6 linked regions of the Rattus norvegicus genome follow. The protein of the gene in region 6 purifies or fractionates together with the protein of the main gene of each other region. This does not show direct contact. Links are inferred from orthologs where the notes say so. Each region holds a gene or a part of one and is shown on either strand. Other genes may lie near its edges. The genes, in order: Tradd, Nlrc4, Tnfaip3, Birc2, Faslg and Casp8.

The links.
Region 1: the proteins of Casp8 (region 6) and Tradd purify together in Homo sapiens (affinity purification with western blotting; 6 studies listed by BioGRID and IntAct, with this or other methods). This does not show direct contact. The link is inferred for Rattus norvegicus from reciprocal best matches to the Homo sapiens genes CASP8 and TRADD.
Region 2: the proteins of Casp8 (region 6) and Nlrc4 purify together in Homo sapiens (affinity purification with western blotting; 3 studies listed by BioGRID and IntAct, with this or other methods). This does not show direct contact. The link is inferred for Rattus norvegicus from reciprocal best matches to the Homo sapiens genes CASP8 and NLRC4.
Region 3: the proteins of Casp8 (region 6) and Tnfaip3 purify together in Homo sapiens (affinity purification with western blotting; 3 studies listed by BioGRID and IntAct, with this or other methods). This does not show direct contact. The link is inferred for Rattus norvegicus from reciprocal best matches to the Homo sapiens genes CASP8 and TNFAIP3.
Region 4: the proteins of Casp8 (region 6) and Birc2 purify together in Homo sapiens (affinity purification with western blotting; 4 studies listed by BioGRID and IntAct, with this or other methods). This does not show direct contact. The link is inferred for Rattus norvegicus from reciprocal best matches to the Homo sapiens genes CASP8 and BIRC2.
Region 5: the proteins of Casp8 (region 6) and Faslg purify together in Homo sapiens (co-immunoprecipitation; 8 studies listed by BioGRID and IntAct, with this or other methods). This does not show direct contact. The link is inferred for Rattus norvegicus from reciprocal best matches to the Homo sapiens genes CASP8 and FASLG.

The regions. Positions count from the first base shown.
Region 1 is NC_086037.1:50,045,557-50,049,658, forward strand, and holds Tradd (tumor necrosis factor receptor type 1-associated DEATH domain protein), read right to left. Parts: upstream 2,603-4,102; coding exon 2,452-2,602; exon of another isoform or gene 1,907-2,451; coding exon 1,629-1,906; exon of another isoform or gene 1,549-1,628; coding exon 1,356-1,548; coding exon of another isoform or gene 1,321-1,355; exon of another isoform or gene 1,237-1,320; coding exon of another isoform or gene 1,212-1,236; coding exon 901-1,211; 3' UTR 501-900; downstream 1-500. UniProt on the Homo sapiens protein: Adapter molecule for TNFRSF1A/TNFR1 that specifically associates with the cytoplasmic domain of activated TNFRSF1A/TNFR1 mediating its interaction with FADD.
Region 2 is NC_086024.1:26,745,759-26,749,938, reverse strand, and holds the start of Nlrc4 (NLR family CARD domain-containing protein 4), read right to left. Parts: upstream 2,801-4,180; 5' UTR 2,697-2,800; coding exon 2,696-2,696; intron 1-2,695.
Region 3 is NC_086019.1:15,541,180-15,545,304, forward strand, and holds the start of Tnfaip3 (TNF alpha induced protein 3), read right to left. Parts: upstream 2,801-4,125; 5' UTR 2,588-2,800; intron 2,033-2,587; exon of another isoform or gene 1,829-2,032; intron 1,605-1,828; exon of another isoform or gene 1,463-1,604; intron 1,452-1,462; exon of another isoform or gene 1-1,451. UniProt on the Homo sapiens protein: Ubiquitin-editing enzyme that contains both ubiquitin ligase and deubiquitinase activities.
Region 4 is NC_086026.1:13,268,741-13,272,956, forward strand, and holds the start of Birc2 (baculoviral IAP repeat-containing protein 2), read right to left. Parts: upstream 2,801-4,216; 5' UTR 2,159-2,800; coding exon 1,248-2,158; intron 1,167-1,247; exon of another isoform or gene 1,116-1,166; intron 1-1,115. UniProt on the Homo sapiens protein: Multi-functional protein which regulates not only caspases and apoptosis, but also modulates inflammatory signaling and immunity, mitogenic kinase signaling, and cell proliferation, as well as cell invasion and metastasis.
Region 5 is NC_086031.1:76,687,743-76,690,123, reverse strand, and holds the end of Faslg (tumor necrosis factor ligand superfamily member 6), read left to right. Parts: intron 1-773; coding exon 774-1,168; 3' UTR 1,169-1,881; downstream 1,882-2,381. UniProt on the Homo sapiens protein: Cytokine that binds to TNFRSF6/FAS, a receptor that transduces the apoptotic signal into cells. Involved in cytotoxic T-cell-mediated apoptosis, natural killer cell-mediated apoptosis and in T-cell development.
Region 6 is NC_086027.1:67,756,770-67,760,820, reverse strand, and holds the start of Casp8 (caspase-8), read right to left. Parts: upstream 2,801-4,051; 5' UTR 2,512-2,800; intron 1-2,511. UniProt on the Homo sapiens protein: Thiol protease that plays a key role in programmed cell death by acting as a molecular switch for apoptosis, necroptosis and pyroptosis, and is required to prevent tissue damage during embryonic development and adulthood.

The sequences.
Region 1 (4,102 bases), on a different chromosome or scaffold from region 6:
CGACATCCTCAATGCCACATGCTATGTAAAATGTCTGAGTCTTACATGCTTCAGTCTCCGTGGAAACAAGGCCAATGACCTCAGTAGAAAAGGTGGGAGAGGCGGGGGTGTGTGTGTTGGAATCTTGGCTGTCCTGGAATTCACTCGGTAGCCCAGGCTGGCCTGTAGCAGATCCACCTGCCTCTGCCTCCAATGTTAGCATTAAAGGCGTGCGCCACCGCCTGGCTGTAATTTTAATTTTCTAATTCAGGCACACCGTAGATGTTTTAAGCACATACTTAAAAGATCACACGCACAAACCAAACCCCAAGTATAGAGTGATTCACCAAACCCCTGGTATCCTTCACTAAGAAGACAGGAAGAACCCCTCTCATCTTCCTCAAGGCCCCAACAGAGCCTACTGTACCCAAAACCCTGCCCCTTTCTCCTCTCCACCTGGCTCACTATTCCCCTGAAGGTGACTAACCACAACCTGGGCTAGACCTCAGTATTTCCACAAGTCTATAAAAGGGTTACATTTTATTATCGCTGCCAAGTACTTAGGTCCCACGATGAGAATGAGCCAAGGGCAGGGAAAATCGTGCATCCTGCTCGTGACAGTTTTTGTAGCACCTTGAATGACATCTAGGTTTCAGAAGGTCCAGTTTCTTAGTGAGTTTCTGCAGGAAGTCCTCTTTCTGTACCCCTGCGGTGCTTGCCTGGCTCCTGGGGAGGGGGAGGGGCAGTTAGTTCACTCCAGCAGCTCAGCTAGGTAGGGGAGTGTGTACGTTCTCCGAGTCCAGTGGATGGCAAATAGCCAGCAGTAGCAACATCAGCAGTAAAAGGACCCCAACAGTCCCCAGTGGGTTCCAAACACTGGCTGAACTGGTTGACCAGTGGCCCTTTCCCACAGTACTAGACTTAAGCCTGGCCGCCTTCCGGCTCCGCCTGGCCTAGCAGATCTTCTGCTAGACTAGTGAGCTCGTTCTCCTCCAGCGCCTCCACTAGGCGTTGCAGTGTGGCACGGCGGCCCTCGGCTTGTATGAAACGGCGCAGCAGCTGGAAGGCCTGCTCATATAGCCCATCACGCTCATACTCATAGGCCAGCGAGTCGAGGGCAGGATCCCTCAGTGCTCGACAGCTACGCTGCAGCGAGCGCCCTACCCTGCGCCACTTGAGGCCCACTGAGCGCGCGAATGTCTGCTGGTCTTGCAGATTCAGTGGCCGGTTCACTGCGGAGGAAGGGAGGAGAGGTAAGTAAGCATCGGTTCCCCGGAGTTCGCACCATCCCGCACCCGCCTGGGGATACCTGGGCCCAGCCCTATTCCGGCTCAGATCTACCTGCTGGTGACCCCGCTTCTGCTGGTGAACCTCACCTATGAGCTGACCATGGAACAGAAAAGTCTGGCCGGCGGCCGGCAGTGGCTTCTCCTCGGCCGGAGAGGAAACCAGGGACTTCGAACCTGCTGGAGCTACCTGTGTGGCTCCACCCTGGCCAGTGGAGTCACACGTCAGTTTGCAGAACTCATCCTCCAGCTCCGCGAGTTCTTCGTCCCTGAGCCGGTCGGGCTGCGCAAAGGGGTGCACAGTAAGTGCGGCTTTTGGCCGCAAATCCCCACCCATCCCATCCTAACTACAGACACCAGCACCTTCTGGGCTAAGATGTAATTCAAACAGCGCTCTTCGTCGGTCAGCCAACTGTCCAGCTGCTCCGCACCAGCACGCAACTCCAGTTGCAACCGCACTGCTTCCTGGGCAAGCGCCGCGGCCATGCACCTCTGCAGTGCGGTGCGCAGCGCCCCCTCGCGGTAGGCTTGGAGAAAGCGGCCGCATAGCAGGCGCCCGCAGAAACGCAACTGAACGATGAGCTGAGGGTCGCTGCAGTGGATCTTGAGTATCTGCAGTACGTCGGGGCTGTCCCCACTCTCTGCGGAGGCGATCAGTCAGGCCACCCGCTGTCCCCAAACAGGACTTTTCTTCCAGCAGCCAGAGGAGGAAGCTAAGCCCGTAGTCCGGCCTATTCTCCCAACCCCCACCTTCAGCCTCTACTGCTCTCTGCCCAGAGAGAACGGAAAGGGTAGGTACTGGGGAGGAGTTTGGGCAAGGAATGCTGCCGTGAGAGAGGAAGAAAAGACAGAAAAGTGCAATTAGTAGCAAAGAGAACTGGCTGCTCAGAAGTAAAGACAGATGTAAATCAAGCTGACATTAGAAGAGAAATGGGTAGATCTGGAAGGCACAGGAAAGTGTACAAATGTTTACACTCAATGACACATACAATAAGCAAAGGAAGATTGCAGACCCCACACAGCCGGGAGTGCTCCCTCTCTCCTCATCCCTCTCCCAACCCCTCACCCAAATAATCTTTTTCTTAAAGAGTGTCTGAGCCTAAACCACAAAGCAAAGAAGTGGGCTCTCAATCCCAGTCCCTCCTACAAAGTCCCAGAGTCACTACACCTTCCCAGCCACACACACCTGACAATGCAGCCTGCAGAGCCTTGTAGATTGCCACTTTCTTCTTGGGATCTGTGTAGGCTTCAGATAGGACCACTTTGTCCATCGAAGACTCCAAAAACAGGTATGCACTGCCCACCCACTCCTCATGGCCATTCTGATCAGCTGCCATCTTGCCTCCTAGAGATGCAAATAGATCATCTCCAGACTTGGAAACAACTATCCAGTCTCATGTGGTCCAGCTGTCCTTCCACAGAGTTCCCAGCTTTTGACTCTGCTCATAGTCCTGCCCAACCCAGGCATGAATCCCTCCACTGCCTTTGACAAGAAGTCTAAGGTCACAGTAACAGCAGAACAGAGGTGGGTCCTAGGCCAGTATGTTTCTCTTATGAAAGCTGACAAAAGGTATCTTCCACCTGAATGGTGCGCATGCTCCAAAACCAGCCAGACTACCGGACTCGTGTCTTAGCTCTGCCTTCAGCTTAAGTTCCCAGAGCCTCTGCAGGACAAAAGGACCACCCACGCTCCCCCTATACCTGGCTCCACTTAATTGTCCCTGCCTAGATCCAAGTTCAAATGTGAAAAGCAAGGCTGGTCAGTCTACATATCCTGTTCACCACTCTTCAGGACCCAGTCAGAACTTGATATAGGGCTCAGACTGGACTAATGACACTCAACTCTGTATTGCTGGGTGGACCACTGATAAAGAGGCACTAACTTCCCCATCTTTGGTGTGGAATTAAAGGGACAGAATAGATCTCTGGCTCCTGCTTAGGAAGAACCTATCTGAGGGAAGGAAGAAGTCTACATGGAAGGAAATAAAGTCAAGAGATGAAGACACAATTGTTTTTTGTTTTTCTGAGACAAGGTCTATGTCTGTGATGGACTAGTTCCTGGCTGGATTGTTTGTTTTTTGTTTTTCTGAGACAGGGTCTATGTCTGTGATGGACTAGTTCCTGGCTGGCCTGGAACTCACTCGGTAGACCAGGTTGGCCTCCAACTCACAGAGATCCACGCGCTTTGATTCCTTCCCAAGGTTTGCCTGTATGATCTATGTATTACATGCATGGCTGTGCCCATGAAGGCCAGAAAAGGGCATCAGATTTCCTGAGACTGGAGTTACAAATGGCTGTGAGCCACAGCATGGGTGCTGGGAATCTAACCGGGTTCCTCTGGAAGAACTGACAGTTCTTTTAACTGTTACACTGTGCATTCCATCTCAGACACAAACTTTTTGGCGGGGGAGAGGGTGTTTCAAGATTTCCCTATCCCTTTATAGACCAGGCTGGCCTCTAACTCACAGAGATCCATCTGCCCCTGCCCCTGCCCCTGCCCCTGCCCCTGCCCCTGCCCCTGCCCCTGCCCCTGCCTCCCGAGAGCATGTGCCGCCATGCCTGGCTGAGGACAAACACGCTTAACTACGGATCCAGCTATCCCTGACCATCCTGACTGCTCAGTTATGTAAGCTAAATCATTCTACTTTGTTATTAGGCCCTTGTTTTCTTCAACTATCCCTAAACAAATTTCCTAACTGTCCACACTAGAACAGAGTCTTTCAACACGAAGATCATTTCCATCCATCTCCTGCCACAATCCTGCTTCTAAATCTCTAATAGAGCTCTGGCTCTGGTCAAGGTTAAGAATCACCTAGACAGGGCATCATCTAGACTGC
Region 2 (4,180 bases), on a different chromosome or scaffold from region 6:
TAATGAGCCCCATGAAGGATTCAATATTCCCACCAGTCCCAGTTTTAGATAACCATAGATGCGCCCTGGCTAACAAAAATCTGAATATCTAGCACTTTTCCAGTGAGAACCAACCAGGGAACACACTCTGTGTAACCCAGGGAGCTGTTAAGGAGAACTGATGCCTGGCATTGCATACAAAGTCATGAATGTGTCAGCATGCTGGCTATCATGCTCACTTCTTGTCTTCCTACCACAACTCAAAGGAGTAGGTGTTTTAGCTCTCACAAGCTTTAAAGATCTCTACAAAGTATTAGACAGTATTCAGTCTAAGCTCTTGTTTCTCTTAGTCTCTAGAGAGGCTACACCATTTTTTTTTTGTTTCTTCCTCTGCAATGCCTTAATCTACACTGGGGTTTGATTTGGTTTGGTTTGGGATTGACCTACAACCTCATGCATTGGAGGCAAACTCCCTACCATTGAACCTGTTGGCCTAATTCTGAGCCAAACTCTCAAATACAGACAAAACTGTGCCCAGATACTGTATGTAGTACACACCGTCTGTGACATCAGAGGCCCCTCTCCCTGTCTTGCACTCTCAGACTACAAGTTCTCTTTGTACTGTAGGCTTGTCCCTTACATGCCTCATGACTGGAGATTGGAGAGTGAAGATGTCTCTCTCAAAGAATTCAAGTCCTCTCCAGTCTGAATTATACTCAGGCAGCCCAACCCTCAGGGATCACTCCTGCCCCACCCCCTAACCCCCATTGCGATCCCCACTGCTAAAGACAGCAGAACAGCTGTCCACACTTGTCTGCAAGTCCTCTGAGGGAGACCCATTGCTGCCCCCTGGAGTCTCACTCATATCTGTGGCTTCTGCATCTTTGTTAAGAAGATAGATATGTCTGTGTTTACTGGAGATTTTCGTTTTATGGCAAAAGGCACGCAAGTCTCTGAGAAGCCTGCAGCCTCTTGCCCATTAGTGTGGACTGCCTCTGAAGCTAGGTATCGTCTCACTTTAAAATGAAGACACCAAGTTCTCTTAGCCCTAAAAAAAAAAAAAAACAAAAAAAAAAAAACAAAAACTTGGTGATATTGAAAAAAGATGTGCTTGGTGTGGCGGCACATGCCTTTAATACCAGCACTTAGCAGGCTGAGGCCAGCCTGGTCTACATAGTGAGTTCCAGGATAGCCAGAAACACACAGAAGGACCTTTCTCAAAGAAAACGAGTAAGATGTATGAGCCGTGTGTGTATGTGTGCGCGTTTTAATGTTTAAAAAGGATACTATGCAACCATATGTATACTATGATATTCTGTGTATAAGATAATCTTATTACTAGCTGTGGATTACCTCAATTCTATAGAACTTAACCATGGAGCTGTAAGATACAGTCAAGACTAACCATGCTGTAACTAGTGGATGGGTAGTAACTAATGACTTTGATGTCATGTAACTAAAGATGTTAGTTTGTTCATTCGTTTGTTTGTTTGTTTAGGGGACAGGGTTTCTCTTGTAGCCCTGGCTACCCTGGAACTCTGTATGTGGACCGGGCTGACTTTGACTCACAGAGCTTCTTCTACCTCTGCCTTACAAGTCTGCGATTTAAGGTATGCACCACCATGCCTGGCAAGATGTTGTTCTTAATCATGATTTGTGCCCATGACTGGGATCCTTTTTGATCACACACGAAAGCCTGTTCATTAATTATTCTTTTTTTCCCTAGAATATCTGCCTCTAGATTAGCACTTCGCGGTGGACCATTGTGCAATGGTCTACATTCTTGTTTGCATTTCCCAGGGTGAGCTCTATTAGCCATACATGATTAGCCAGGGATGGTTTGTGAGAGCCATTAGCCGCTGGTGGCTACTGAGCACTTGATATGCGATAAGAATGAATGTGTAACTGAATTTTGCTTGGGTTCATTGTTGTTGCTGTTGTTTGTTTGTTTGCTTGCTTTAAGGGCCTTGTTATACATCCCAGGCTGACTCGTGATCCCACGTCTTCAGGTCCCAAGGGCTGAGACCCTAGGTATGTGATGCTATGTTCTCATGTGCAATTGGGTTTTATGTCAAATTCGATTTTAAGTTTAAATTTGCAATTAAATGGCCATAGTGGCTAGTGGGTACTACATTGGAGAGCACAGGTCAACACTGGGATCAAAATGGAAACAGAACTTGGGAGCTTCAGAAGCATTCATGTCTGTGCCATTTCTCTGAAGTGATTGGGTATAGTTTTCTGAAATCTAAATGCAAGTCTGTGATTGAACAGGTTAAAGCTGGTATCATCTGGTCACTCTTTTTTTTTTTAAAGATGTATTTATTTATTTTATGTGAGTACACTGTAGCTGTCTTCAGCCACACCAGAAGAGGGCATCAGATCCCATTACAGATGGTCGTGAGCCACCATGTGGTTGCTGGGAATTGAACTCAGGACCTTTGGAAGAGCAGTCAGTGTTCTTAACCGCTGAGCCATCTCTCTAGCCCACTTGGTCACTCTTTACATAAGCCTTACCCCATCTGTCATCTGCCTTTCTTCGTAAGCTCGCCATATTGTTTTTAACGAATTCTCAAGACAACATAGAATATTTAATTGAGAAGCCCACAGATAATTCGTCAGACGAAAGCGTGAATCGCTTTTCCATTTAATATCATCAATGAACTATCAATAATCTCATAATAATAAACTAGACAGATGCTGCTTATTGAATACTTACTTGTGGTGAGTCAAACCGTCCCACTTTTCTTGATCTCAGTAGAAGGTATTTCTTTTCCAAACAGGAAGGCCAAAGACGATCATAATGTTGTAAGGTAAGGCTATCCTAAGAAACTAACAAAAGGAAAACAAAGGCTGAAGTTGCTTGTGACTAGGGCAGCGCTGCTCTTCCACATGAAGAGTGACACCCAAACTATCTAAAACTTGCTCAGGGTCTGGGGAGATCGCTCACAGGCTGACGTGCTTGTTGTGGAAGAGTGAGGACCTGATTTCTTATCCCCAGCACCCACGTAAAAATCTGACCCTAGCATAGAGTGCAGGTAGAGATGGGCTCACTGGCCTCTAGTTTCACTAACCAGTGGTGCCAGGGTTAGTGAAAAACTCTGTCGGGAACAAAAAGATAGAGAGTAATTGAGGAAGACACCGGACATGATCTCCGGCTTCTGCGCGTGCGCGCGCGCGCACACACACACACACACACACACACACACACACACACACACGTAGGCTCATATATTTGAATGCTGAGTCATCAGGAAGTGGAACTGTTTGAAAGGATCAGGAGGTGTGGCCTTGTGGGAGCAGGTATGGCCTTGTTGGAGGAAGTGCAGGATTCGAATGTGGGCTTTGAGGTTTCAAAAACTCTGTGTCTTCTCTCTCTTCTGTCAGTCATGTACCTGGGTGCTATCCAAGGGGATCTGTGGGGCTCTGGCCCAGTGGGAGTGGCCAAAGAGTTGCAGCTCTTTGAGGGGGAGGGGGAACAAGTCAGGCTGCTGGGTTTCTTTGGAGGCTGCAGCAGGCCACAGCAGGCAGCCAGGAGCCTAGGTCAGGGCCACAAAACAGGAAGTGGCTGCAGTAGGCTCAAGGAGCTTCCAGCAACAAAAGCTTCAGGGGGGAATCCTCTTCCCTTAGGGTGCTACAGCTTGATAAGACAGACACTCTCAGAGTCTTTGATGAGATAACTCACGCACTTTATTCCTTGTGATTAGGGTCTTATAAACATTTTGGGGTGGGGTGGGGTCTAAAGGCAGAGGTTTTCTATTGGCTTGGTCTGAGATGTTAGGGAAGCCTCATCTGCATGTGGAGGGGCTTCAGGTGCTGCCCTTACGTGACTGAATCTCACAGTCTTCTCCATGGTGTGTCGTAGTCATGTATCCCAGGACTGGTACATGATCAGGAGGAGATTTAAACTCCTACCACCCTCAATTATGAGACTTTCTGGGGTTTCTGAATCCACTCGACCTTACCAGATTTTCCGTCTGGGGGCAGGGTCCACTGCCCCACGCTCTTCCTGCTGCCTGCTGATCAGATGTAAAAGTCTTAGCTATTTCTCCAGCACCATGTCTGCCTGCGCGCTGTCTCGATGATAATGGACTGAACCACTGAAACTGTAAGCCAGCCCCAATTAACTGCTTTCTTTTTTTTCTTTTTTTCTTTTTTTCTTTTTTTCTTTTTTCTTTTTTCTTTTTTTTTTTTCAGAGCTGGG
Region 3 (4,125 bases), on a different chromosome or scaffold from region 6:
ACAGAGGGATACTAAGGTATATCACACCTCCCAGAGAGGTGGGGGGGGGGGAACAGACACCAGCGCGCTCTATGACTTTAACTCAACTAGACCAACTTTTATTTATGGCTGCCCTTCCAGATCCCAATGCTCAGAGACCTCAACACCCTCCTTCCTTTACCATAAAAGATCGAGCGCAATCAAAGGTGGAGGAAATGAAATCAGGAAACGAACAGGAAGTATTGGAGTGGGGTACCACTCAGGACGAAGACTGGCCATATGACCACCCACGCCAACTATGCACGAATGTGGACTGATGATGCAGAGAGACCAATGTGGATCAATGGCCATCCAGGTCTGCTTCACTGTCCTCACAGACCCTCCTTGGGCACTTGACCACACATCCTAATTTCCTAGAAGACAGAAATGATATAGAGCACCTAGGAAATTTCTCAGCGAAGCTTAATGCCACTCCGGCACCATACTATCCTCCAATGCAAACTCACCAGGTTAAAATAAAAACGGTGTTAAGACTATGCAAGAGGGAAAAGAAATCGTAAGTTCTTGTTCCCTGCTTGGAAGGGAGGGGCTGCTCCTGGGAATTTGCATTGGGATGCTGAGGCCTGGAAGTTATTCTCTGTGCCTGATGACAGTTGCGCCTCGCAAGTAGAATTAGGCAGAAACATAGACAGAATGGGACAAAACTACCACACATACATCTCCTTGGTGATATAGCATGGTCTCTCTCACAATGTCATCACCCCATCCATGAATGGATGCATGCAAGCAGCAAGGCTGGACCACCTATTTAAGGCCAACCCTTGTGCCTGATGCGATAGCTAAAAATGTATGATTTCACTCCTAGCCTTGATATCTGTCAGACAACCCCTGCAGCTAAGGCAGTGATGGTCAGACCCATCTCAGGTCCAGCAGACGTAAGGATGCAGCTCTGCTCATAAGCCAAGTCTTCCTATTCCCCATCTCAATCCCTTGCTGGTCTCCTGATAGCAACCCTGGCGTACAGCATTTGCAGCTCTCAGAAACAGGCAAGGAGAAGTTTTGCATCAGTGAGCTGCACCTTGTTCTATTTTTATGGCTATTCTATTTTGCTCTTCTGGACCTCAAGAACTTTTAGCATAGATCTAAAAGTGGCGGGGGCTCTAAGCCATATGTAAGACATGCAAAGGTCAGTATCTGTCAGCCCACTAAGACCCCGTTCACGGACTCTGCCTTGCACTGCGTGCAAAAGTGCCTATTTAAGACAGAGCTTAAACCTCCCTCTGCCCAAGTTTCCAGTTCTTGGACTTCCCCACATTTAGAGAATAAAGTTTCCTGACATATCATTGTAATGTTTTATGGGTAAAAAAAAAAAATTAAAGCACTACCCTTAACTTTTAAAAATATATTTGTTACCTCACTCCCTTACAGATAAATTTCCCAATTTTTGTCACAGGATCAATAAGGTTCTTCAGAACTTACTCACCAAAGTCTTTCCCCCACTTTTATTTTTCCACTCTGAACAGATTTTTTTTTTTTGCCCGCGATGTGGAAACTTCTGTATTATTTATAAACAGATACCTCGGGCAATTGTTGGGAAGTACCCCTCCAAAAATCTATACAACGAGCTGCAAAAGATCCAAGTAGCATATCAGACCACAAGAATGAGCCCTGATCAACCGATAATAATCTGCTCAATAATCTAGGACATCAGCGTATGGAAGGCTAATGAACAATAATCAGTTCCAAACGGTGCCCCCCCCCCTCCACTTGACCAGACCAGCTTTCCAAAGAAAGATGAGAGAACAGGAGAACTAAAAACAAAGCATGCTCCAGAAAGAGCTCTTAATACCTCAGCTTTCCTGAGAGGCCAGGTGGCAGGATGTGGGACGAAGGACCCGGACTGACAAGTCACAGTCTGAGTGTGGAGTCAAGGCTGCAGTAGGGAGTTTTACATGCCACCAAACGTGGACTCCCCAGCAAGCAGGCCAGAGAATCATTTCTGCATGCATACTCTTATACCGGAGCAACTAGGGCCTTAGTGGCAATCTCAAAGCACGCCCCTCCCCTCCACCTCCCTCCCCGCAACCCTCCTCCCACATTGATCACTAAAAAGTTGGCTGGCTGAAGCCTCCAAGTTGGATTTGGTGGCCTCTGAGAAAACCATCCCCTGTTGGGCCAGTAATGCACAATATGGGAAGAAACCCCAGCGCGACTCTGCAAGGTCTACGTGCCTATGAACATGCTGCACTTGATTTCCAAAGGGGGGGCTGGAAGAGTGGGTACACCCACGACCACACGACCTAGGGACCCGAAGGGTGACTATTCATCAGCCAGCTGCAGCTCACGTCACCCTGCAGGATCGGAAAGGAATAGCTAGCTAACCAGACGGCTGGAGAAACTTAGGGCTGTCAACCTAAACACTTGGCACCCGGACCTCAACTCTGGCCAACAATACCCTCACCCCAGAACTCCTGCAAAGCCATAGCAAGACAGCTCCATACTGAGCTGGCCGTGCACCCTGAATCTGGCTGGCACTGCACCCCTCTGGCCGTGCACCCACCCCCCCTGTATCCTGCTAGCCGTGCACCCCAGCCGGAGTACTGCTCACCTCCTGGGGCCGCACGGAGCCCTCGCAGAGCCCAAGTGGCCGATCAGCCGTCACTGGCGCGAGCCGTAGCCGGGGGTCGTGGTTCGGGTCGTGGTGGGGGTCGGGCCGAGGCGGAGCCCCATGGACGCCCGGTCGGGCTCTCTGGTTGGGGGTGTGCACGTCTCTCGGCGGCCTAGCTCACCGCTCCGCCTCCGGCTCCGAAGGCTGCAGACTGGGCAGTTCCCTTTTTTTGCCTTTCAGTTGTATGCTTCGCCACAGGGGGATTTCCGAGGGACTTTCCAGTCACGTGACTCCCGCATGGCGAGCGGCCGGCCAGCAGAGGGCGCTCGAGGCCGTCCCCGCCCCGCCCGGAGAAACTCCTAGGTCCCGCCCCGGGGTGTCCCCGCGTGAGTCACCTGGGCATTTCGGAAGCTGCCTTCCACGTCACATCCATGTGGAAATAGTGGTGATGGGAACTGGAAATGCAATAGGTTCTTTTTTATAGCCTCTTTTCTGAAGAAAATCAGCTGTGAAAAGGAAGGGAAATTAGAAAGAAAACCCTAAAAACCACCCAGACACACAGGACCTCAGGCATGAAGCCGGCTTTGAAGTCTGGGCTGTGCACGTGATGGACTTAAGAAAGAACCGTTCTCAGGGTCCTGAGGGGATTGAGAGAAAAGGCCACAGGGTTCTCCAGACCCTGTGTCAGCTTCAGGCTGGATGCAATGCAGAGTGAGATGAGACACCATGATCCTGCAGTTTTTGAGTTACAGGGGCAAGGTCAAATTCAGAGAAAATTAAATTCACCTCCATCACCCCTACAACCCTCCATTTGCTCCGTTTCTCCTTTATTTCCGTGCTCCAAGGAGCATTAAGGTTTAGAAAGTGCTTCAAGTTTATTACTGTCTCCCCCCATCCTCTACAGTTGTTTTCTTAGGTGTTGTTTGGTTTGCCTGAGAATTAGTTCACCCCAAGAAGCCACTGGTGGAGAACCTTCCATATTGTCCTGATCCCCGACTACAGCTTGCCTTTCTCTAGAAGGGAGAAAGCTTCGGACACAGGGGCTTGAGCTCTGCAGAGAGAGAGAGAGAGAGAGAGAGAGAGAGAGAGAGAGAGAGAGAGAGAGAGAGAGAGATGCTAAAATGCTTTTACCTTCTTGGAGTTTTTCCTCTAGTGTCCCCTTGGCCGAAATCCTAGAAAACAGTAACGCAAACCAGGCAGATAGTCCGTGCCACTGTGACTTTAGGTATGTTCGTCAAGTTGCCAAGTTGCCAGGAAGTATACTGCACGTTTGAACTAGAAACATGTGTTCCTGTCCCCAGGAGTGACTGGGCTAGGTGACAGAGCACAATGGCATTTTTTAAATTATTATTTGTAAAGGGGGGCTTGAAGCAAGAGTACTGGCCACTACTCCAAGATTGGTCTATCCGCTAACTCCCCCCACCCCCTCCACATATCCCTCCACCTCCCCCCGACACACACACACATCCCTCCCTACACCGTTTCTATTTCAAATCTGGTAATATTTGTCTTCTTACAGATGTTTTCAGCTTCGGACA
Region 4 (4,216 bases), on a different chromosome or scaffold from region 6:
AGTCTTGCCACCTGAGTTGGTCTGGGGTTCACAATGTGGCCCAAGTTAATGTTGACTGGACAACTGCTTCAGCCTCCAAACTGCTAGAATTATAGTGTGTGCCACCACATCTAGACAAAATTAACACTTTTAAGTAAATTAAATATATCAGTTTTCAGAACAACAAAAGAAAGGAATCAAAATCTATCTTTTTGTTTTGGTTTTTGAGACGGTTCTAAGTAGTCCAAGTTGGTTTCAAAAGTTGTATCAGACTCCTGAATGTTAACACTACATTGGACCTGACATACAAAAATTTTGATCATAGTTCATGATAATTTTATTTTGGAGACAGGGTCTCACTATACTCTCCTAGCTGACCTGAACTTGCTAAGTAGAATGCATGCCTCTGCTCCCAGTGGCTGAGATTAAAGGCATGTGGACGTGGGTGCATTACCTGGCCCATCATATAACTATTTACTGTTTAACAATGTATTGATCCAATATAAATAATTAAATCAAAATTCCTGTTCATCATGGACCATACAGAAGTGAAAGGTCCCTGTAACTCCCTCAAAGAGTCCAACAATTCCTCATTACCATGGACGGCATGCAGGGGTCCAAGCTCTCTTTACTGTATACTCCCACTTATATACGTTGTGGATGTAGTACCTAGAGTAGGAAGGTTCAGATATAGCAGGCAGAAGGGTCGGTGCCGGGGGTGTGTGCAAGTGTAGAGGATGTTTCATCTGGAGAGGATGAGGGCTCTGGGGGTGACTCTAAAACAGTACTCGTGTCCTTTACACCACAGAAGAATACATTTCAGATGGCTAAATTAGTAAACTTTATGTGTATTTTAACATAACAAAAACACCTAACAGTCCATTCATTTTAAAAATGAGGTCCAACTGCACATAGCTGATCAGTGTCAAATACAAAAATTCCAATTTTATTTCACTAACAACTGTGCTCTTAAATTTATTCTAAGCAATAATAAAAATTAAGAGGTTAGGGATGTAAGCAAGAGAATTTGTCAACCAGATGTGAAGCCCTGGGTTCAATCCTCCATACCACAATAATAAACAAATTTTAAAAGTTTTTAAGAACCAATTACCAAGCCTGGCAGTGGTGGTACAGACCTTTAATCCCAGCACTCAGGAGGCAGAAGCAGGTAGATCTCTCTGAGTTCAAGTCCAGACTGGTCTGCAGAGTGAGTTCCAAAGCTACGCTGAGAAACCCAGTCTTGAAAACAAACAAAAAGAACCAATTACCTTGGAAACCATTTGGCATGTTCTATCCAGGGGTCATCTCCGGGTTCCCAACATCTCAAGCCACCATCACAACAAAAGCATTTGACATCATCATTGTGATCCACATAATAAAATCCAGCACTTGCAAGCTGCTCAGGCTGAACAAGAACACTCGATGGCCAGTACAGAAACGTCCTCATCCGAGCAGAGTGTGTCTGCATACTGAGATTGGATACACTAAACCTCTGCGTTTCTGAAGTATTTTCCAGAAATGGACAGTGGGGAAAATGTCTCCTGTGCTCTGACAGAGGATCATCGTTCGGTTCCCAGTTGCTCAGTTTCCCACCACAGGCAAAACAGGCCACCCTGTCTCCAGGCCCTGTGTAGTAGAAGCCTGCTTTGGCCAGCTCTGCTGGGGACAGAAAACTTAATGGCCACATACTGTAAGAAAGAAACCTGGCCTCTTCTGTACTCATGGCATAGCTGCAGGGATTCATCCTCAACGAGAAGTCTTCCACTGCTCTAGAATTGAGAGGGTTTGAGGGCAGGCTGGAATGAATGCCACCTTGTTCCAGAGGTAGCGAGTGTGCAAATCTACTTTTCGCAGGAGACGTGTTCTTAGCTGCAGACTGCAGACCGCCTGAAAGCAAAGTCTGCACAAAGCTGCAGCTGGGATAGAACTGTCTGTGCTTCTCAGTGGGACTGTCCCCTTGTTTCCAGTTGTCCAGCATCAGGCCACAGCAGAAGCACTTGACCTTGTCATTGACACCTGTGTAGTAAAAGCCAGCACGAGCCAGACTCCTCTCTGAGACAGGAACTCCCCTGGGAAAAGCTGAGTATGTGGACATTCTGTAGAGTTCACATGAAAAGTCATACTTCATTTTTTCTTTGTTTTCTTTTGTCCAATTTGACAAGACTGTGCTATTCTCCATTATACCGTTAGTTTACTGGGGTAAGGCACCCTGGACAAGTCTCTGGGAGAGTTCTGTGCAGGAATAGTAATAGTATTTCTGGCAGCTTAAACTTCCATATGAAGCTCCTCACTACTTCACACAAGATCTCTACCATAGACGGGAATGAGACAGCAGACAGCTAACTGGACACATTCACGGTCTTCTGACTGAACTGATGAGTTCACACTCACAGGACAAATCTGTCTCATATGACAAGACACTGCTCGGGACTCTCTGGGAAATCACATGAACTCTTCTGGGTAACCCGAGAGCTATAGACCCAGAACCTACTTCTCGTTATTAGTTATAGGGCAACTGCTGACTGTATATATGCGGGCTCTTTTCCCTTTAAGGACTTAAATCTGATGTCTGAACTACTTCTTTTCCTAGCAAAGGAAAGGACCTGAAGTCTGCATCCTGTATTTCCTCAGAACTAATGTCATACAGCTCATCATTATCACAGGACTCTCTAAAGTGGGTTACATCAACTGCATAACTTCCAGGGAAGTCAGCACAGCTCTACTAAGACTACAGGATTTGTTATAAATAAACAGTGCTTAAAGCATAAACTATTACTCTCTCATTGTTATATAAATCTCATATATCACCACCTTAATTCTGTGTCTATCATTTTAATACATCTGGTCAACAGACAGTATTTTGTACATAATCTTAGACTGCATTTTATAAAGTCTGCCAGTGTTTAAGGCCCAATTCACTATAAGTCTATTATAATTAAGAATGAGTCAATTGGAGACATGGCTTTCTTCTGTTATCACAAATACAAGAACCCTGTTTCACCACGGCTTTTCTGCTGCACAAATGTACCATACTCGTCTTCTTTTCGAAAACTCAGGATTTTATGTAACTATTCATTGTGTATGTGTACTCCAAGCAAACTGCATCTTCTTATAAAAATGTTCAGATCTTCATGTCTGGGCTTATTTCTATGGGAACATGGGAGAACATAAAGGCTCTTGAGGGCTATAAATCTGAAAGAAAAAAAGATATTTTTGAAAACTAATTGCACAGAATTGTCCTCCTCAATTTATTCAATAATGTCTAAAAACGGCCATTCTAGATAACACATCCAACTACAGCAGTTCCTCTCCCAAGTCTACTTAGAAAGGCTCCAAATCAAGGCACACACTGCGAAAGTACTCCTGAAGTACTAACTATGCCTGTCTTTAAAGTGCACAGCGCTGTATTGTTTAACAAGCAAAACTGAAAACAAATGCACATTTCCATTTGACAAAAATTGGTCCCTGATTTCAAGTTTGTTCATTTTATGTATTTTTTATTTACTATTAGACAAAAATGCACCATACTTAATGAACATTTTTTAAGGGACAGAGTCTTATTCAGCAGCCTAGGCTGGCTAGAAAGTCAATGTAACCCAAACTGGTTTTAAAACTTGGAATTCTCCTGCCTCAGCCTCCCAAGTAATAGGAACAGGCTACCAACAGGCTCCTTTTGATTTCTGATTTAAAGCTATTTTGATCTAGCACTTGACTGGAGACAAAAGGCACCTGTTAATAGTGAAAACATGGGTCTGAAGGACTGTTGCTATATTTGCCTTGCAGGTAAAGGACCCTAGGTTTAATCACAAGAAAAAAATTATATATTTTATATTATATTAAAACTATAAATTAAAATATAAATACAAATAATGTATTATAAAATATATTCATACACATAAATATGTGGATATAATACATAAATACAATATAAAATAAACAATATAATAGATATTTTATATTAAAATATAAGTATTTCCTGAGGATTCCCGAGGCATGCCTGCAATCTTAATCTCAACACTTGGAAGATGGAGGTAGGAAGAATGAGATGCTCCTGCTAGACAGAACAGTTGAACTAGCCAGGACTTAATTGGCCACAATAAAGGCACCGGGAAGAGCTCATTAACGGAATCCGTGAAGGACAACCATTCCCTAACAATTCCAAAGCAACTACCACAGACAGCGTCTCAAAACCAAAAGAGTACAAATGCCCATAACACAGAGGCCTGAAACAAGGCTA
Region 5 (2,381 bases), on a different chromosome or scaffold from region 6:
AAAGTCCGCGGGGGGGGGGGGGACTTGTGATGTAGATCCAATGGGAGCAGCAGACGGTGAAATGATGATCTATTTCGAGCAAGAGGAGACAGTCTTGGCATTTGTGGGCTTTCAGCCTAAGATTATAAAGTGAAAAAGTGGTTTAGTACAATTGCTATGAGCCCCTCCACTAGGAAAATAAACATCCAAAATGTGGGTAAATATCACAATAAGAGGTCTAGCATGGCTCTTGTAATCACTTGGAGACTTTAGAGAAGTCTGGGTCTATAAACACTTATTGAGTACTTGCTGTGTGTTGGTCCATTTAATCCTGTATGAATACAAAGGAAGGGGATTAATCCAAAAGAAGAGGCCAAGGAATCCATACTAAATGAATGGACTACATAATCATGAGACTTTGTCCAGATGTAGAGCTCCAGAGATCCCTTTCTTTATGGAGGGGTCCCTAAGCCCGGAAGTATTGGTACTAGTTTAGGTCATAAAGTGTTTATTACAAAGTACTGAAGTTATCCTAATAATCTTCCCCGAGTTTCACTTGAGGCACACACCGAATTTGTCCTAAACACATGGATGATTAAAATGAGGTGGGGAATTTGACAAATGTGTTGAAGAAACTCAGCGGTGGACCATGTTTTAACTCCTAAGTCACTCGCATCAGCTGTCATTCTGGTTAGAACTTTTGTTAAGGGAGGCCCCACAGTTTTGCCTTGGAAGCTTAGAGTGTCAGATATGTGAACATTTCTGGCTGAATGCTCCTCTCTGGTTTATTACAGGGAACCCCCGCTCAAGGTCCATCCCTCTGGAATGGGAAGACACATATGGAACTGCTTTGATCTCTGGAGTGAAGTATAAGAAAGGCGGCCTTGTGATCAATGAGGCTGGGTTGTACTTCGTATATTCCAAAGTATACTTCCGGGGTCAGTCTTGCAACAGCCAGCCCCTAAGCCACAAGGTCTATATGAGGAACTTTAAGTATCCTGGGGATCTGGTGCTAATGGAGGAGAAGAAGTTGAATTACTGCACTACTGGCCAGATATGGGCCCACAGCAGCTACCTAGGGGCAGTATTTAATCTTACCGTTGCTGACCATTTATATGTCAACATATCTCAACTCTCTCTGATCAATTTTGAGGAATCTAAGACCTTTTTTGGCTTATATAAGCTTTAAAGGAAAAAGCATTTTAGAATGATCTATTATTCTTTATCATGGATGCCAGGAATATTGTCTTCAATGAGAGTCTTCTTAAGACCAATTGAGCCACAAAGACCACAAGGTCCAACAGGTCAGCTACCCTTCATTTTCTAGAGGTCCATGGAGTGGTCCTTAATGCCTGCATCATGAGCCAGATGGGAAGAAGACTGTTCCTGAGGAACATAAAGTTTTGGGCTGCTGTGTGGCAATGCAGAGGCAAAGAGAAGGAACTGTCTGATGTTAAATGGCCAAGAGCATTTTAGCCATTGAAGAAAAAAAAAACCTTTAAACTCACCTTCCAGGGTGGGTCTACTTGCTACCTCACAGGAGGCCGTCTTTTAGACACATGATTGTGGTATGACTATACAAGGGTGAGAAAGGATGCTAGGTTTCATGGATAAGCTAGAGACTGAAAAAAGCCAGTGTCCCATTGGCATCATCTTTATTTTTAACTGATGTTTTCTGAGCCCACCTTTGATGCTAACAGAGAAATAAGAGGGGTGTTTGAGGCACAAGTCATTCTCTACATAGCATGTGTACCTCCAGTGCAATGATGTCTGTGTGTGTTTTTATGTATGAGAGTAGAGCGATTCTAAAGAGTCACATGAGTACAACGCGTACATTACGGAGTACATATTAGAAACGTATGTGTTACATTTGATGCTAGAATATCTGAATGTTTCTTGCTAATAAACTCTAATAGTCTTCAAAACCCTTTTATTATCAGCTACTGATGCTGTTTTCCTTTAATACACTAGTATTTATGTTCTGTGTATCTTAATGAAGAAAAGACAAATAAAATTATGTTATAGAATATAGAGATGCATTAAGGACACAGGCTTTGGAAATCGGTGAGATGTGCTTATTGTTTCTTTCCTGCGTGGTTTCTTCATCCATAATGGCTTTGGAGAACTCTGAGAAGAATTTGCACAGGTGAGTAGAGCCGTGTGACAAATTCCCCCATCTTCGTTGGTATCTCTTCTCTGGACCTCACATTACCCTGAGTTTTGTTTATCAGCATCATGACTAATGGTAAGTGGACCCAACTCTTTGTATATTTGATGGCAGCTCATATTTTCCTGGGGCAGAACTATGACAAAGTAGAAAGGACATGGGCTTCATAGTTAAACGGCTGAAGTTGAGTCTTTGTCCTTTTTCTTAGCTTACTTTGCAGTCTTTGGTTGACCTC
Region 6 (4,051 bases):
GCAAAAGGGGAGACATTACAACTGATTATCTATGAAATTTAGAAAAATCATATGAGGGGCTGGAGAGATGGCTCAGCGGTTAAGAGCACTGACTGCTCTTCCAGAGGTTCTGAGTTCAATTCCCAGCAACCACATGGTGGCTCACAACCATCTGTAAATAAAATAAATAAATCTTAAAAAAAAAAAAAACCGAAACAAACAAACAAAACACATGGATTTAAAAAAAATCGTATGGATATAACTGAAAAACTTTCATTTGACTCGCTTTTAGAATATAAAAAAAGAAAAAGAGATGAATTTCTAAATTTTTATTAACTAGTAAAAAGAGGCCCCCAGTGTACTTCACCTCTGATGGGCCTGGGGTCCTGGGCTTCGAGCGTCTGCAACTTCCACAGCTGACTCTTCTTGTTACACAGAAGTGTTCTCCCTGCTTCTAGTTCCATAGTTCCCACTGACAGCCATTAGAAACAAAAATAAAAACAAACAACAACACCAAAAACACCCACCTAAAATCAAAGGTTTTCCTACAGCCATCTCACCAAAGAGGCAAACACTGGGCCCTTCACCATGTGAACAAACCTGTGTACAAACACATAAGCTGCTTGCTGGGAATTAGTTAAAATACTGTCTGGTGTTAAAGAGAAGAAAGAGAAAAGAACTTTGAAACTGTGTTTTCTGCTACCTAACACAGAATAAAATAGAAGGTAAGTTTTCCGAGTAAAGGGCCCCAAGTTTACAGCTGAGGGAACTGAATAAGTCACCTGAAAGTACGTGTCCACCCTCAAGGTCTGGGCAAAGGTGACACCACCATATCAGGACTTTTAGCTGGCATTTGATTCTGCCAGGAACCTGGGCAACATTGGAGCAGCAGAATCAAATCCTGTTTGTGCCCCCAATCCACTCCCGGAGTTACTCCAGCATCTTCTGAAACCTCTGCCCCAGTTCCGGCTCACTTCTGAGAATTTCCTGTTCAAGACCACAAACTTCCTGAGGGTAGCAACTGAAGCTTTCACAGTAACACCTGAACCATACAACAGCAGCCTGAAAATCATCAATGAAAAGAAACTCTGTAAAGAGGCAATGGGTATGAACGCGGAATTCCCCGATGGGCACTAAGCCCACACAGATCATAGGATGCCACATTAAATCTGAGGAATGGTAAATAAAGCAAGAAGATGCACACTTTCTTATTAGAGAATTTTAAGTTGAAAGATTAAAAAAAAAAAAAAGCAGCCTGATCGAGTGAAGTGGCCATGCTTGCTGTACAGGCTGTGCGAGAAAGCCTGGTAGTTCCTGGACTTAACCCACAACAGAAATGACCAGGCAAAACCGAATAACACCTAAATGACCCCAGGTGTCACATTCCTCCCCACTGGGGAAGAGACACTGAGGCATACAGCCATGAACAGCAGCTCTTCCGTGTCCACATATGAGTGCTTGGGCCTTCTTAAATAGGATTTGTGAGAAAGGGGAGTGCTAATCACCCTAATGCTAATTCGATTACTACCATGCTTATTAAAAAAACGAAAGATTTGGTGTTGAGAAGGCTCAGGAGTTTAAGAGCACTCACTGCTCTTGCAGACCAACTGGGTTCAGTTTCCAGCACCCATATGGTGACTGAAACTGTCTGTAGCTCCAGTTCGAGAGATCTGTGGTCCCCCTGGACACCAAGTGCACATACATACATGCAGGCAAAACACTCATAGACATTAAATTAAAATAGAGATAAATACATTTTAAAGAATGAAACTGAGACCTAGCCAAGCAGAAGGCACTTAAAGGACTCCCTTTAAAAAATAGTAAGAAATAGAAATATGACAGTATGATAATTCCTCACTGGTACATAATGACAGTCACTGTTATAACTGCTTAGCATGTAGAGGAATTATTGGCCTCAGGCCACCTCTAGCTCTCCCTCTCCCCAGCCCCCTTGCTGTTTTTGTGGTTTTAAGTGCAGAGCTGGTACCCTGTCACTCCCACCCCTTGCACTGCCAGCATTCCTGAGGTGGAAGCAGAAAGATCAGAAGTTCAAGAAGCTCGAGGCCAGATCTTAGAGGGAAAAGGGTCAGGGAGAGGGGAGGGAGAGGGGGAGGGGAGGGGAAGGAGGTGGGGGAGAATGAGAGAATAGGAGGAAGGGAAAGGGGAAGGCAAAGAGAAGAAAGGGGAGAGAACAGGGGAGGGGAGATGTTGGAGAAGTAGAAAGGGAGAGAGGATTTGGGATTAGGGTTGGGGGACGTCTCTTAAGAGTTGGGAGGAGCCTGAAAATCGCCGGAGGAAACCCAACGCAAGTCAGAGAACACACAGTGATGCCACCGGATAATTAACCTGGCTCTAGGTCCTGAGCCGGACTACAAAGAAAGTTAGCCTAAGAAATCGAATAAAGTTTTCTGGAGGAGGCGATGACCGTACTCCGATGGCCGCATTTCGGGGAGCGTCAGGCTAGATTGCCACCGTTGGGATCGCGGCCTGCTGGTAGGAGAGGAACGAACCGGACTACTCTGCAGCACTCACCTGTCGCCGAGTCCCTGCCCCGCCAGTCACAGCTCCCCTCTCGGGCGAGCAACCCCTGGGAGACGCTCTCCGCCTCCGGCTGCCGCTAGCCGGGCTCACTTCCTGTTCCCTGGCCAGTCCGCCAAAGTTTACTATGGATTCAAAGAAGCGGAACTATAAAACACCGGAGGTCAGAGGGAGGAGAAAGGCAACTGAGAGAACTAAGGAGCAGAAATGACTAATTTCTGATAATCACTAGGTGGCATAGGCTGCTTCTCTCTGCCCGCCTTAGGAGCGCCCGCCAGTTCTTAAGGACACTTCCTCATTCCCCCCACCCTAACCCCACCTCCTTGCATACAGAAACCCTATACCTTGTGACTGGATGGGTAAACCAGCTCTAGAAATGTCAGCACTCAGGGAGGTAGGGGCAGGAAGATTAGAACTGGTAAGTTCAGGCTAGCCCAGAGACACTGGAAACACACACACACACACACACACACACACACACACACACACACACACACACACACACACACACACACAGTTCAAAGGAGCCAACTACAAGAAGAAAGTGATTTCGCACTGAATCAAAAAACCAGCAAGGGAGACAGAACGGAACTGCCTGGTTCACACTGTGAAGTTAGATGGTCAAGGGAGACGCTGAAAGAGAAATTTTACTTTGTGGCATGGTCTGAACTCAGCACTGAACTCATGGACCCGTCTCCCCACCAAGATCATATTATAAGGCTGTTCTTAGGGTCACACGGGCCTGCAGTTGAAGCGTTCGGAAGTACACACACTGGAGAAATCCTGGCTCCTAGCCGTGTTCTAGGAATTCATGGTAACATGTTTTTCCACAGTGCTGAGGCAGAATTATGGAGTCCAGAACATCAAGTAGATACAAAGACTAAAATCCCATTTTACCACATACTAACTTCCTTCCCAATACTTGGAGTTCAGAGTGAGCAGTGTGATGAACTACAATTTAAACTGGGCTACAGAGTAACAACTTGTCTGAAGCGGGGTGGGGGCGGGGTTAAAAGGCTGGTCAGGAAGTATGGTCAGGCTATAAAAAACCTCAAGGCTGCTCCCAGAGACTCACTTTCACAACCTCCCCCCAGGTACCGCCACTAGCAAGGGACTAAGTGCTCAAACCTACGGGGGACATTTTGTCAAACCACACCAAAACAGTGTTTCACAAAACCAGTGAAATCTGGTTAAACCAGACCAGTATGTCACCAACACAATCCAGCTGCTACCTGGAGGGTTCCCGAGTGAGGGATGCGTCTGCTAAAGCCACCAGATTGTAATCCAAGACCCATACGAATGGGCCAGTTGTGGTAGATACTTCGTAGTCGGGCTACCCCACCACAGCAGGTATGATTATTTATTGCTGATGAGCAATTAAAGAACAGGGTCAAATGATTAATGAGAGGAGAGCAAAACAGCACCCTGGACAGCACACAGCACACGAGCCTTCTGGGTCTCGGTCTGGAAAAGGTATAATCAGCTGTTCTGTGCATTTGATCATATTGTCTGACTGCCTTACAATTGCTACTGC